2 linked regions of the Astyanax mexicanus genome follow. The protein of the gene in region 1 interacts with the protein of each later gene in a biochemical or structural test. Links are inferred from orthologs where the notes say so. Each region holds a gene or a part of one and is shown on either strand. Other genes may lie near its edges. The genes, in order: patj and tjp3.

Region 1 (8,176 bases):
TTTGAAGCCAGTCAGCGGCAGGTTTTTCAGGTCAAAGAAATTACGCAGCCCTTTGCAGGTGAAATAAGGGGGGTGCGAATGAAAAGCCGGTGCTCCACACAATAGAAGCTAACAGTTTGTGGCCCGCGGGACCATTGTGTGTAAAATGTCTTCAAAACGAGAACATGAGCCAAAACGGCGTGACGTTCCCAAAATGTGTCATTGTTTGCAATAATGATGTGTTAACTTATTACTGTGAATGGGGAAGGAAAAAAAAAAAAAAAGTCACAATTTTCCATTTTTCAATGGCATCCATTTGGATACACACAGAAAAACTGGTGAGTTTATGCCATTAGGGATCTGAAAGAATTGCAATTAATTAATCCTCCCACATCTAGTAATTTAAACATAATTACTGTTAATCGCCAGTAATAGTGCTGATAATTGGTCACTGAAGGGCTTAAGCGTGTTGATTCCAGCACTGATATCAAAAGAGCTGCCTGCGGAGAGCCTGTTCAGCCCTGCCAGGCAGGGTCTTTAGAGCTGAATGGCGCAGTAGCTTGAAGGTCAGTCCAGACCAGGTGCAGATCTCGGAGAGAACGCCTGCAGGACTGGCTCAGGCTCTGCATGGGCTTGCCTTTCACCTGCTCCGCTCAAACACTCAAAAAAAAACACACAAAAAAAAGAGCCCAAGAAGAAGGAAAAAGGAAAGCCTTCATCCGCCAGAGTCTTTTGTATGTCTGCAGGTGCTTAATTGATAAGAATGGCCTTAAAACATGGAGAGAAGGAGAAAAGGAGCTCCTCACGCCACATCCTGCTTCACTCTGGAGTTTATGTATAAAGAACTAGCTCCTCCAGGTGAGATAATGTTAGCAGTGTTTATTTTCTCACATGCCAGTTCCCCTCGGCTCTATTCAGTTTTTGGAGATTTGAAGAGAAGAAACACAGACTTCAGGAAATTAGCGAACTCTCACTTGTACAGTTTGTTAACAGATAAAAAGAAAAGAAGAGTTAAGCATGAAAATTATCAGAGGCTGTTTACAGACTTTAAAAAGTCCAGCCCAAAGTCTGAACTAATGGATAATGTGTTTTTTAATACTGTAAAGATTTTGGTCCGGTTAGTTTTGGTTTCACAATGCAGTTTACTAGTAATTGGTATTACTATTAAATCAATAAAAATCAATTTGACAAGTTGCCTTTCCAGATGTTGTGCCAAATCTAACTCTCTTTGAGTGTATGCAAGCTAGCAGAATGAGCACTACAGACCACTCACAAATATACTTTATTTCTGTTTATACATAAAGGTTTAAACTACAGCTATTGTAGATACAGGAATCACCATCAGTGTAATGCTGTCCCTACATATACAGTATAATAATAAAGATGCCATTGGATAGAGCCGAACATGAGGGTTGAGCTGGCCTTGCCCATAAGTAAAAGGTACTTTTTTTATAGTTGCGTATATGGATGACTGATATCATATGGTTGAAAGACTGGAGCAAAAAATAAATAAATAAATAAATAAATAAATAAAAATTATATATATATATATATATATATATATATATATATATATATATATATATATATATATATATATATATATATATATATGGCAAATAAAATCTGCCTCTGGAAGAGAAATCATGGACAATATGCCCACAATGCTTTGATAAGCTAAAAGAAAATATTGTGCATGTCGGTAACATTCTATTCTACAATTTGTTACACTTGATAATTAACAGTTTACTACCAACACATTTAGGAGGACTTACCGAGAGCTGGATAACCCAAATAGAAGCGGTCTGCACCGAGCCATCCCAGGAACAGTGACAAAGCCACAGCTACTTTGTAAGAATAAACACTCCTAGTCAAACAAAAAACAAAACAAAACATTATCACAAAATATTAACCCCAATGAAATCAAATTCTTTTAGATTAGTATTTACTATAGACATTTAGAGGGAAGAAACTCACACATTACGACATGGAACACTTTTATTAAATCCAACCTCATCGCCACTGAATTTGTACTTGGTCCCATTAGGCAGCAAACAGCTGATGTTTGGTGCAGGAAGACACTCCACTGAAAAAAATAACATAGCATATTAGCTACTAGGGCTGGGCATTATGGATCAAAACTAATATCTGATTTTTTTTTTTAATCCCATAAGGTAATAACAAAAAGACACTTCCAAGACAAAGCTACATGCTCCAGATTTTACACAGGCAGTTTTATTATCCTGTGTCATATCCTGTATATTAGAACGTATTAGTGCTTAAAGGGAATTTAAATTACACTAATTATAAACAAGATTCTTCAAATAAAATGTTTGTTTCTTTTTTCATTTAAAGTACCTTAAAAACAACATCAAAGTGTGATTTTGGTAAAAGAGTCTTAAAGTGCTTAAATAAGTCATTTAAAAAGTGCAATTTGAGTTTTCTTTAAATCTGGGCAGAAACAGTGACAGGTCTATTCCTATACCTGTGTGTAGGAGCTGATTGGTCAGTTCAGGTTAGAGTGGGCATGACAGCTCTGAAGATAAGTGTTTAGTTTTTGTAGTGACGCAGGTTTTGAACTGCCTGTGTTTCTCTGAAATGTCGAGTTCTGTTGTCACTATGTGTTTTATATAAAATGCTCTGAATGGGCTCCTGTGTGCACCACATTTTATTTAGGAAGCGCGGGATTGGTCTGTAATTTTCCTGCACCCTGAAGCCTCCACTGAACGGTTCTGCTGCTTAAAATAAATTTGGGGCAATGTCTGGGTGCGGGAGAACTGACAGAGCTAACTGGAATGCAGTATAGACTTTATTAATACAAACCATACTGTTTGATCTCGTATGAACATATATTTTTATAAATCTATTTTGCCCAGCTCTATTATGGACAGATTTGACAACTGGCACACTGCTCTATACTCTTAAGTCAACAACAAAAAAAGCATAGTGACAGATGCATTTTTAATGATCATCAGTTATCATATGAGCTCACCCCATGCTATTAGATCCTTGCAGTTCTCTGGTTCTTGAGTTGCATCATTTATTATAGGACTTTTGCAGATATACCTGAATATTGTCAAGGAGAAACACAGACTGGTCCTGTTACAGACAATACTTTCAGCACTAGAGCATACAGTTTTAAGGTTTGCTGTTTTATCACATCTTTTTTGATTATACTATATTGCACTCTAAAGGATCTTGAAGTTTAGTTTAAATGTTCAAAAAGTTGTTTATTAATAAATATCAATTAAAATGGATATACAAAAAATAATATATCTTTCTAGCTCTCTGTATATTTATCAATTAGCTATGCTGATGAGCACTTCTCTTTTCTCTTCTTTATCGTACTGATATTTTCTTAATTATTAAAAAACTTCATATAAATATCAGGCAAAGATAACCTGAGTAAAAATAAAAAACACTTTTTAAATGATAATTTCATTTATTAAGAGGGAAAAAAAAGTTTGTGTTTGCCCCATATTCTGAAACAGGTCTGGGCTCTTATGTTTTGATATTATTTTTACTACTACTATAATGATTATTATTATTATTACTACTACTATAAAAAAATATTACTTCAAACAATAGACTGCATGCTTACAATTAGAATTGTGTATAGGGCTGTAACAATAAATATTTTATCAACTTATTATGCAATAAATTGACATAACTTCTATAATGTTTTACTCACTTTGACATTATATGAAGACCCATTAGAATGAACAAGCAGGGATGTAATTTTTTTTTTTTAATAATATGTTTTTTATTTTATTTAGATATTTAGGACATTCTATATTACAATTCCAGTGTATGGATATTTTTTTGTTTAAAATGTTCTCTTAAACAATGTGTACAATAACGTGTATTATGATATAATATGTCTTCAGAATGGGGGGCAGATCGTGCAGCAATTTAATATTATGATTCATTCTTAATTCCACTTTAAAGGGGAGCTAAAATTAGCTTTTATTTATATATATATATATATATATATATATATATATATATATATATATATATATATATATATATATATATATATATATCTATATATATATTCCATTCTATCTTAAATGCTGCAGCCGCTGAATCTGTTGCACTACAATCTATGACTAGGCTTTACCCTTGATTGAGAATATACACCTGAATGGAGGCATACAAATAGAACTAAATTCTTACCCAATAAACCCTCCCAAAGTGTTTGCACATAAGGATGCAGACATATAAGTTATGTTATATTTAAATTGCTAACTAACTTCTAGATTTAGCTACTGGTTTGTTTGTTCATGCTACCTTTGTTTGACAGCACAGAACGCATTAGCCTGGCTAGGTCAGCTAACGCTAGCTAGCTAACATTTTAATTAACAAATTTGCATTAACAATTTTTTTTGCCAGTATAGAACCCATTGGCTGGGTTAAGTCAGTACAGCTAGCTACATAACCTAACAGAGAAAACACACATTCTAACTTAACTTAGCTAACATTTAATTTAACAAATTAGCATTAAGAATTTTTTTTTTAGCAGCACATAACCCATCAATTTTCTAGGTTAGGTCAGCTAACGGTAGCTACATAACAGAGATAACACACATTTAAACCTAGCTTTAACATTTTATTTTACAAATAACTAAATTCCAGAACTGATTTGGCAGCACAGAACCTACTAGCAGGGTTAAATTAGCTAAGGCTAGCTGGCTACAAAACAGAGAAAACAAACTTTGCAAGGTTAATATTTTATCTATCAAATAAAGTACATTTCAGGCTTTGTTTAATAGCAAATACCCAAATACACGCTAGGTCAGCAAAACAGAACCCTACCTACGTTATTATTGTGTTGACAACTAACCTAGCTAGGTTATATCCATCTAGCTAGGCTAGGCTAAGCTAAGCTAAGCTAAACCGGATAGCTAGCCTGTTTCTGCAGCGGAGAAAACACACAAATCCTCCACTCAAACAGCGGAAAAAAGGATACTGTCCGGGGCGGAGATGTTCACAGCTATCCACCTGCTCAGTAACGCTGTGAATTAAAGTCCAGCAGGAGGAGAAAAGCACAAACACGAGCTGTTTCCACCAGCAACAAAACAGCCCGCTGCTGGGTGAAGCCATGTTGGAGGCGGCGGTGGTCACGTGACCCGGAGAGATTTTTTTTTAAAGAGACAAAAAAAAATCAGCGAAAGGAAAATGCAGTTGTTTAACCCTCTAAAGTTCTAGTATTTTTATTTGCACTTTAAATGGTTTATTTAGACAGAGCAGTCGCCTTATTTAGTTAAAAATGAATAAAAACTAAAGAAACAAACCTTTACGCTGATGAAGTTGAGTGTGAGGGGAGTAGTTAACGCCAGCTAAACTTCACCACCCGTTTAGCACAGCTAGTGGAGCTAGCCAGCCTGCCAAACTTACTAAATAACATGTTAAACAGCAGTTTAAAGCCTTGACGCGAGAAACAAACTCCAGGTTAGTGGGTTAATATAGTTAATATACATTTTCAGCTTGGTTGCTGTGTGATAAACTGGTTATTTCTGCGTTTACCGGCGTGTAAAACGTGTTAGAGACTAATGCACCTGTTGTACTGTTGTGTGTTGTGTACATTAGCTAAGCTAGCTATTTGTGGAGAAAGCGTTTAACCGTTAGCTGTTTTGTATTAATCCAACATTATTGACCAAATGCACTACTTATTAAGTAACGTTAACGCTTCGCCCCGATCATGTAGGTCTTGTTTATTGTGTTTAATGTAGTTAAACAGTCTTTTTCTGGGTATGTGAGCTTCTCTCTGTTACTTAACTCTACCTGCTTCCTGTTTTCAGGTGAGGCAGCGCAGCTCCTCTCACTTCCGTCAGACAGGTGAGCTCGGGCGGATGAAAACAAGTGAAATCTCAGCTGAAAGAAGCTCAGCGTTTTAACTACAATACTGTTTTGGACTTTATTTACAGGAACCTCCAGCTTGTTTTAAAGCTATAACTGAAGAACTTCGGCGCTTAAAACCTCGGTAAGTAGTCAGAGTTCGTCTTGTTTTACTTAGTTTAAACACAGCTGCTGTGGCTAATGTGTTATTTAACCGCTAACTAACTTAGCTAACCTGGGTTAGCTCACCGAAACTGAGCTGTCTGTTATGATATAGGAAGTCTCCTAGGTGTTAAGAATCGACATTTCTTCCTGAATAACTGTTTTCTCTCATTGTTACTAACCTTTATTGGTGTTAGTGTAGTGTTGAGGTGAGTCAATGAGATATATATTCTTGAATATATTCATATTAATCTCAAAATTAGCCGAATAACTATTTTATCAGCCAAACATCTGACTACAGAGATGACCAGCATGTTTTAACCAGTTGTTTGGGTGGTTTAGCTAATTAGCTAGGTTAGCTAATATTATTTTTTGGACCTTTGTATCAACGTGTTTAACCCATAATTTCTAAATATTGATACCATGCGTAAAATCTAATCCGATCAATCTAATCAGATATATTCAGTGAGCAGCTTATTAATGTTTTTTTGTTATTATTGTGGGCACATACCGAGCCCCTAAGGTGACATCATATTAAAATAAAAATACTTTGTGGCCACAGCTTATTAAGGTGTGGGAATGAGATCCTGAATCTTGGCTATGACTTATTAAGGCGTGGAAATGAGATCGTGAGGCACGGACACAACTTATTAAGGCGTGGGAATGAGATTCTGAGGCATGGACACAACTTATTAACGCATGGGAACGAGATTCTAATGTGTGTGATTATTATTAAGATTATTAAGGCGTTGACACAACTTATTAGGCATGGTAATGAGCTCCTAATGCATGATCACAACTTATTAAGGCATGGAAATTAGATATTAAGGAGGGGGTACGAGATCCTAGGGTGTGACCGCAACCTATTAAGGTGGGGGAATGAGATCTTAGTGCGTGGGAACAAAGTAATTAGGGTGTTGCCAGGACTTATTAAGGTATGGGAATGAGATCCTAAGGCATGGCCATGACTGATTAAGGAATAGGAATGAGATTCTAAGGAGTGGTCACGACTTATTAGGGCGTAGAAATGAGATATGTTCGAATTGTGTTAAAAGGAAATAATTAAGGCGTGACCACAACTTGTTAAGGCCTGGAAATGAGTTCATTAAGATGTGGCCATAACCTCTTAAGGTGTGGGAAACAGATAATTAAAGCATATATAATAAATTAATTAAATCAAGGCCATTAAGGCGTGGCCACAAGGTCCTTTTGTTTCACAGCTAACAAAGCAAGCAGCTCTCCGGGGTTGTGTACAATATGACTCTCTAAGGAAGGTAAATGGATCTGCATAAATCTTGATTTGTGTTTATCTTTGTCACTCATCTCCTGTTACCTGTTGCAGTGTTGTGGTACACAGGAATTCTGATTTACCCCGCAATATCTGTTTGCTGTTTTTAATATTGTGGTAGATCTACCAAACAAACCTTTGACTTTAAACATGTTTAAAAATTCATATATAGGTACAGCCGGATGAAGAAAGGGTTGTTAATGTTGTTTTTCTGTGTTTGTCCTGACAGATTTATTTACATCCCTCTACATTAGGCTCTCCGGGGAGGAGCAATGTATGAAAATGTGCCAACAGGTAAAAGGATTATGCCACATTTTAGTGATACCTAATTAACAGTATAATAAATGCAAACATAGTTTGAGCACACTTGGCTAAACCGATTGTTGATAATTCTTAAACAAATGTATGTTTTTTTTATTTGCCTTTCTTACTAGCATATGAGCAGAACTTGAAGATGTCACCTTAATAGTCTGCACTTTAGAACGTTCAAGCTTAAAACAATTGTCTTTTGTTTGTTTTTTAGAGCATGTATAAAATCATAAAACCTGTTCCAAATTTTGCACAGGCTATATTGATATCTTAAATGTATTGTTTTGTTGATTTATTATGAAAGGCAGACTAGCTGTATATATTTCTCTGATCAATTTTAATATCAATTTTATGTTAAAACAAAAGATTGCAAAAGATTTCCTTAATGCTGTTTAAATTTTACAGTAGTAAAGTCATTATTTCATAATTGTACTTAAATCATAACTCTGTGTCTTTTTATCTCTGTGTCTGTGTGTGTTCAGTATCTGCAACCGAGCGGCAGCAGGTGCTTCAGGCCTTGGAGAGGCTGCAGTCGAAGCTGGTGCAGCGTGAGGAATGGACTCATAGTGAGCGTCTGGGAGCGCTGAAGGAAGCACT
Region 2 (7,568 bases), about 890 kb from region 1:
CTTGTATCTGTAGAGAAGAACTGCTAATAGAATTGCACTCTCTGGAGCAACAAAATAAACATAAAGCTATTAAACACCATTAAGTTTAATGCCAGGTGTGGACTAGAGAGACATAAACCCCTGGCCTCGGAATGAGCTGTGCGGCAGTGGAACTGTATTCTCTGGAACAAAACTTTTTGGTATGATTGGTTACTCTCCTACCTGGTTAATCCCCCTGTTTATCTGGTAAAGTAGTGTTGGTAAAATAAAGCAGAAGTAGTTTTGCTGTTGTGCTGTGGATGTGTTTGTAGCTTTTATGAGGCAGAAGACTCATAGAAGTTCATCTTTTGCTGCACAGATTGCATTGGCGGTGACACTGATGTGTTTAAAAACTCCAGCAACATTGCTGTGTGTGATTCACTCATACTATCACAACACACACTAACGCACCACTGCCATGCCAGTGTCCATGCATTGCAGAGGACTTCCTTTCGGGTTCTGACCATTGAAGAACAGGGGGAAAAGGGAATAATAAAGTATGCAGAGAAACAGAAGGACTACAGGCTGTAATTATAGAACAACCAAGTGCTTCTATAAGCTTAGTGGAGCTAAAAAAAAATGGAAAAATGGGTGTTAAAAACAAAGAGGTAGTCATAATGTTATGCTTGATCGATTTACACGAGGAATGTAGAGATCAGTGAATTGTATCCATCCTGCTGGATACATTTGCTTGACACATGGCTGAGCGTGAGTAACAGTAGATGGAGCTTGAGTAAACAGCCTGCCTGTGCCCAGGGAGCAATCAGCAGTTCTGCAGGTGAAGGTGTTTACAGTTACTGGTGAGCAGACACACCTTAACACACAGCAGTGTGTCCGGCAGCGTGTTCGGCATTGTGTTTATCGTCGCTCTACAGCATGTGAATCTAATACCAACTCAAGGTACATTTCCAGCAACTACCAAAAGCTCAGTTACTGATTTACCTGCTGGCCTGCTGCCAGGTTTCTTACACCTGCACTGGCTCACAGAAAACGAACAGTGCTTCATTAGTAACAGGATATATTTGATATTTAAATACAGTGACATGAAATGCTTTCCCAACAGCATTTAAAGCTCAGTCTGAACTGAGGGACTGCAGCCAAAAGTAAGTCATGTGAAAGACCAGCTTTCGTAGACGATCCCGTTTTTCCAGGATCTGATGGTATGCACGATTACAAACAGCCCGCTGCTTCCTGATCCTGAAACTTTAGTGCACAACATACCATAGCCCTTTTCTAGGCCAGCTACAAAATGCTGTGCTTTATCAATCATTAACCAAGTGGGGTAATGATTCCCTGTGTAACCAGGGCACCATGCATTTACAGTGAGGCCAGTTGTTGCTGGGGAGGTTGTAGAAATGCTGTGGTATTTTTGTAAAGCTTTTGTTGTCATTTCTAACACCATGCTCTCATGTTTATATACTGTTACAGTACCAGTCAAAAGATTCTCATTTAATGTTTTACTTCATTTCTTTATTTAATTTATTTTCAATATTGTCAATCAATATTAAAAACATCAAGCAATTAAGGGTATATTAAACAAAAAAAAGTGTTTGTTCTCCACAATCCTCTGATCTAAACCTTATTAACTGATATGGTGATTTGAGGTGATTTGGGATGAGCTGGAGCTTCACAGTCTGTAGGAAAAGCAGCAACTACAGTTCAGGTGACTCGACCTCATGAAGACACTAAGATTAAAATATCAAGAGTGTGCAGATCTGTCCTCAAATGCGAAAAGTGGTATAAAACATATTCTGATTTGTTGTACAAACCAGAATTACATCAGCCCTGTCTTTCTGTCCTGTCTCCCCCTCTTTTTTTGCTGTCTGGTACAGACAGGTTGATGGCTAATTTCACTGGTACTCGTGAGCATGTGACAATAAAGGCAAAAAAGTTGAACGTTAAATTCATTTATGGCCAATAGAAATTTAACAAAAATGAACATTTATTTTTTACCTTTAGCCAGTACAGCAGTCTGGCCCCGCCTACTTAGAACTGTTTATTCAGTATTTTGGACTAATAAACTTCATGTTATTTATTCAGCAGTTTTGTCCCTCTCCCTTAATGCTGTTTATTTGCCAGTTTTACTCCGCCCACTCTGTACTGTTTGTTTGTTAGTTTAACAGGTTGAATCTACCTCCACAAACTAGAGTGATTAGAGGTGTTTTAGCCTAGAGACATCTTTCTTTACAAGGCATGATGCAGCACAGTTAATGAGAGCCTAAATAGTGTTGTAAGCACTGTTTACAAAACACAGTGGTGGTCAACCAATGTACAATTATTCCCACAGTTCTTTTCAAATTTAGTGAAAGATCATTACAAAACAGCAAAACACTTATTTTAAAATAACAGAAACTGGTGGGAACATGACACACGGAAACATGCAGATGCTTCATGTCATATATGCTTTCAGTGAGATTTCTCAGTGCACCATAGCATTACACTCAGCATTTTGACATAGAATTAAACCTAAAACAAGAAACAGAATTTTTTTATGTTTTTGGTATTGTTAATAGAAACCTGGAGAGTGACGTATGATGCAGGATATTTTTTGTGAGACTGAGCAAGTATGAATATTTCTGTATTTAATTTCTGTAAAGTAACTATTGAAAGCTGAACCTACAGAAGCTGAAGTTTAATCACTCTATATTGGTTAATCTTTGGTACTCTTTGGTAGTTTATAGTACAGTTTATGGCATGTGAGCTGCAGAACTACAGCCTTTCATTTGGCTTACTAAGTGTTTTCAATATGGCTTTAGTTTGGGATTCATAGCTACAGACTTCTATTAGATATACACTAAACGCTATTGCAAAAGGTATTCACTTGCCCATTTAAATCATTGAATTCCAGTTTTGCGATCACTTATATGGCCATAGGTGTATACAAGCAAGCAGCCAGGCATGTAGTGTGCTTCTACAAACATTGGTGAAAGAAGCTCAGTGAATGCCAGCATGGCATTGTGATAGGATGACCCATGTGCAAAAGCGTGGGTTGACATCATATTAAACCCTTTAGATTAAACATGGGCTGACACTGACGTTCATATGCATGCAAACGTAACTGTAGGTAATATTATACAGAAAGATAAAAAATCATGCACCAAACATCTGGGATTAGATATAAGGCTTATTCCCTTCCTCTACTCCCAAGAGGATACTCTACTCTCCCACTCACTCACTATTAGACAACATTAATAATCTCCTGCAGCAAACAGCTCAGTTTCTGTGGCCGCGTATGATCTGATCCACAACCTTTAACCCAAAAGTAGACCAGTAGACTAGACATCTTACAGCTAGGTTGTAATTAGTATAAATTATTAATAATAACAATAGCAATAATAAAACTACTGACTTAAAGTTGCTGCTGAATCCATCTCTGGTTATTAGGTATGTCAGTATAATTACATTATTCACTTATCGTGACATTATTTCTATGATTAAAACTGCCCACTATCCTTTTGTTAGTAATGAGAGCCCATTAATGACACTTTTTAACATATTTTTATTTGTTTTATTTGTTTAGCATATTTAAACATGTTTTCTTTCAAGTTCCTTGTCTGGAAATCAATATTAATTAAAAGCTAATTCCTCTTTAAATCAGAGAAACTGCATGGTTTTATCGCTTACTTGCCTGGATGATCTTGTATCCCTTGCCCCATGGTCATAAAACATAAGAATGTAAAACGAAGATAATCTTGTTGATTAGAATTATTTCTAAGACAATGTACTGTCTAATAAAGCATAGTTATTCTAACAGGCCAAGTAATTGCATTATTATTTTCGGTAACTTTAAATACACATTTACCTCAGTAGTGCTACTTAAAGTGACATAAAACATGTTTTGAGTTTGTGGCAAAGAGAAGTACTGTATTTGTTCACGGTTTTAATTAACTGTATTTACATGCTGTGTCAAATGACTAGAACAAAGAGAAAAACACCCTGCTTTTCCTGTACTGTTCCTGTAATGCAGTGTTTACCGTGCACTTTTTTGTGGTTTTCCTTCTCGACCTGCGCACCTAATTTAGCTGCCATGTTTATAGGAAGGTGTAAAGTACGTTAGATCAGGGACATCACTAAACTCCTGCTGGACTGCAGCCCTCTGTTCCCACTCCAAGATTTACTGAGAGAGTGTTTGTTTGTTTGTTTGTTTGTTTGTTTGTTTGTTTGTTTGTTTGTTTGTTTGTTTGTTTGTTTTTGTATCCCAGCCGAACCGGTTGGCAGGATGTTGGTTTAACTCATCGTGCCTCCAGCTGGATCCCTCTTAAAATTCGAGCCTCCTAAGGTGGTTCTGCCTCACTGGAGCAGAAAACAATGCAGACTGAGAAGCTCCACCTTAAAGCCTCGACAAAGCTAGTAATAGAAGGTATCTCGTGGCTGGGAAGGCTTGTGGGTGGGGCTTTCCATTGACTCAGGTGCTTTGTGTGCAAGGTGTTTTTCACGGACTTGTTCTCTGATAGGGTTTGTGTTGTTTCCTGTGGGTTTCCTGTGGAAAGAATCCAGCTAATCTTTGCTTTTGCTGGTGGGAAAAATGTGGTTTCCCAGAGAGAGCCGTGGTGGTCGGCGGTGGAGGTGACCGTTAGCTGCCTGAGGGCGTAGTCGCAGAGGTCACAGGTGTTTCTCTAGGAGTGTAGCGTGGAGAGAGAGAGAGAGATAATGGAGGTGAGGTTCAGAGATCTGGTGAGTACACAGAACTAATCCACAAGTTTTATTTATTAATGTTATTATAGTATCTGTTTTGTTGCTGCGGTAGTTGTTGTTTGGGTATTATTTTAATACTAACTGGAAAGAAACACTGCGCCTTGTTGTACAATGTATATTCCCTAGAGTATTGGGACACCTGCTCATTTATTGTTCCTTCTGAAATCTGTAAATTAAAGGAAAATAATTAATAGTTTATCTAGTTTACCTATTTGTTTGTGTTACTGTCGCTACTGTACAGAGAAGGAAAATATTTCTACTAGATTTTGAAGCATTGCTGTAAGGATTTGATTGCATTCAGTGACAAAGAAAAGAGCTTAAGTGTGTTCAGGTTGTTGAAACATCACCACCCCACCTCTTTCCCAACTCATCCTAACAATTCTAAATAGAGCTTTAGGTGCCAGTAGGTGCCAGTAGGTCCAAGCCGAAAAAACATGCCAGGATGGCTGGGCAATAATTTGAAATTTAATTAATCAACACTCATTCAAAACCTATAACCAAAATACTTTTGCTCATTATTATTTTTTTTTTACATTTTAAATTACTACACTTATTCATGTAAATGGAAAAACATAGTCACGTGACTCAGCCCTGACCTGTCTGTGACAGCAACCCAAGGAGAAATCCAACACAGGCCGAGCAAACTGAGCATCTCGAGCAGCTTATACAATCATTTAGTAATTGTAATTAGAGTTAAATGTTCAAATAATCTCGATATTGATTAGAGGTCACATCGCCCAGCTCTAATTGGCAGTACTTTACTACAGGGATTGAACAAAATGTGTTTGCATTTGCACATTTGTGTCAGTAATTATGTTTAGCTTAATGCATTCTTTAAAAGTTAAAAAATATTTAGACATTCTTCTAGAATTGTTTCAGGATTTTTAATAAATGTAGCTTTTTGATGTCAACAAAGAAACAGCATTTTAGCTTTATTTAGAGATGCACAGAAATGAAAAAGAGTGAAACATTGAACAAAATGAAACATATTACCTAATACAGAACATAGAAATGCCCCACTTTTTAAATAAACTTTATAGCCTGAATGTATTTTGTTTTGTTTAAATAAATAAAAAATCTCAGCAGACAAAGTACAACATATTTACCTCAGCAGTGCTACTTTAGTCATGAATTCATTTTGAAGCATTGCTATTCTAGTCACACAATGAGCTGGATATGTATCTAAGCATTGCTATTCTAATCATAGTTTTAGTCATAAATGTACCTCAGCAGTGCTACTCAAGTTACTTGCAAGTGAAACTTATTCCCAAAAACAAACAGATGCAAATGTTTGCTGAGGTAACCCTGTGTAGCTTGTGCATTTCAGATAGAAAAAAACAGTTGTGAAAATAATTATTTTTTAATTGAATTTATGCAAGTAAAAATGAACTTAAACCTGCCGGATGGTGGAGGGGGAGGGGGTGTTAGTATTCTGCTGCTGTAATGTCCCAGATATGGCTAGGCTATGTTCTGATTGTGGCCACTATGGCCCCTAAAATAATATCACAGTATTTTACGTTTTTTTTTTTTATTATGTCAAAATGTTTTTTTAAGAATATACTACTGCAGCAATATAAACATTTTTAATAATACCACAATATCACGATATGGAGTTTTTTATTATGTTAGAATTTTTGCCGATAATATTGCTTACAATACGATATGGCACACCCCTTGTAATCACCATATTGAAAGACGCCATATTTTGTTTTTGAAATAGAAGGGTGTCCTACTTTTGGCCTTGTATATTATTTATATAGAAAAGTTTTGAGACAGAATTATCCAGATATGCATTTTCTTTGAATTGTTTAATAAATAATTATATTATTGCATATGATGCAATATGACACAGCCCTATTGTGAACCGTTATGTTCACAAAGCAGCTGGTTGCCTATTCAAACACGTGGCCAAACAGCAAGTCTGTATTCGTAGCATTAATCACATTAAAACAACAGACACATGCCCACATATATGATTTCATGGTCATGTGGTTTCTGTGTAGTTGTTACTCATCCTTAGACTACTCTACTGTTTTCCAGCCTAAGCTCTGTAGCACATGGTTAATCACCACAGCACTGAACTCTGTACATTTATAAAACAGGCCTTGACCCCGAACACACTTACACCAGAGGCTAGACTGTGAAACTAGTCGAGCATGATGTTTACCTTTTAAAGAGATTAATAGTTAAACTGTAACCTGGTGTTAAATTCCAGCTTGGCGACTGCAGTTTGTTCCCCAGCTTTGGATTGGCTTTGTGTGAGTTTAAAACACACATGATATTTACTCAAAGCTTTGATTTATGTTTTCACTATGCGTTTGACTACCAGCCATATAAAACCACCTGCTTAATATTGTGTACGTTCCCATGGAGCCACTAAAACTTGCATCACATTTGTGAGGTGTTATAAGGTGGGGTCTCAAAAACATCAGTGAGCCTTTGGGTGCCTGTGACCCTGTCCCTATTGGCTACATTCACTTTACAAGGCACTTTGCTCAAATCCAATTTTTTGCTCAGATCAGATCTTGATGGTTCACTTTCACAAATGTAAGTGAGCTGTATCTGTGTGTAATGTGAAAGAATCTGTCCCAGAAACGCCTCAAATGCGCACATTGATACGTGTGTAAACGTCGTCGTCTTCACCAACAACGAAGCTTTATAAAGATTACATTAATATGTTAGCAGCTCATATGTGGAGCATCTTAAGCTCGAGTGGGGAACAAACAGCTGGTCTGATGTTCATGCTCAGATCGAGGAGGAGAAAAAAGGCCAGGGGGTTTGCTTTTGCTGTTTTTGCAGCTATAGCTGAACAGCTGCACCAAGAGTGTGGGTAGCATGTAGCACATGTGTAAAAG

Evidence for each region.
Region 2: the proteins of patj (region 1) and tjp3 form a complex in vitro, tested with the Homo sapiens proteins (2 studies listed by BioGRID and IntAct, with this or other methods). The link is inferred for Astyanax mexicanus from reciprocal best matches to the Homo sapiens genes PATJ and TJP3.

The regions. Positions count from the first base shown.
Region 1 is NC_064423.1:15,520,755-15,528,930, forward strand, and holds the start of patj (inaD-like protein), read left to right. Parts: upstream 1-5,162; 5' UTR 5,163-5,433; intron 5,434-5,783; 5' UTR 5,784-5,820; intron 5,821-5,909; 5' UTR 5,910-5,965; intron 5,966-7,499; 5' UTR 7,500-7,542; coding exon 7,543-7,564; intron 7,565-8,061; coding exon 8,062-8,176.
Region 2 is NC_064423.1:14,629,747-14,637,314, forward strand, and holds the start of tjp3 (tight junction protein ZO-3), read left to right. Parts: upstream 1-4,449; 5' UTR 4,450-4,668; coding exon 4,669-4,692; intron 4,693-7,568. UniProt on the Homo sapiens protein: TJP1, TJP2, and TJP3 are closely related scaffolding proteins that link tight junction (TJ) transmembrane proteins such as claudins, junctional adhesion molecules, and occludin to the actin cytoskeleton.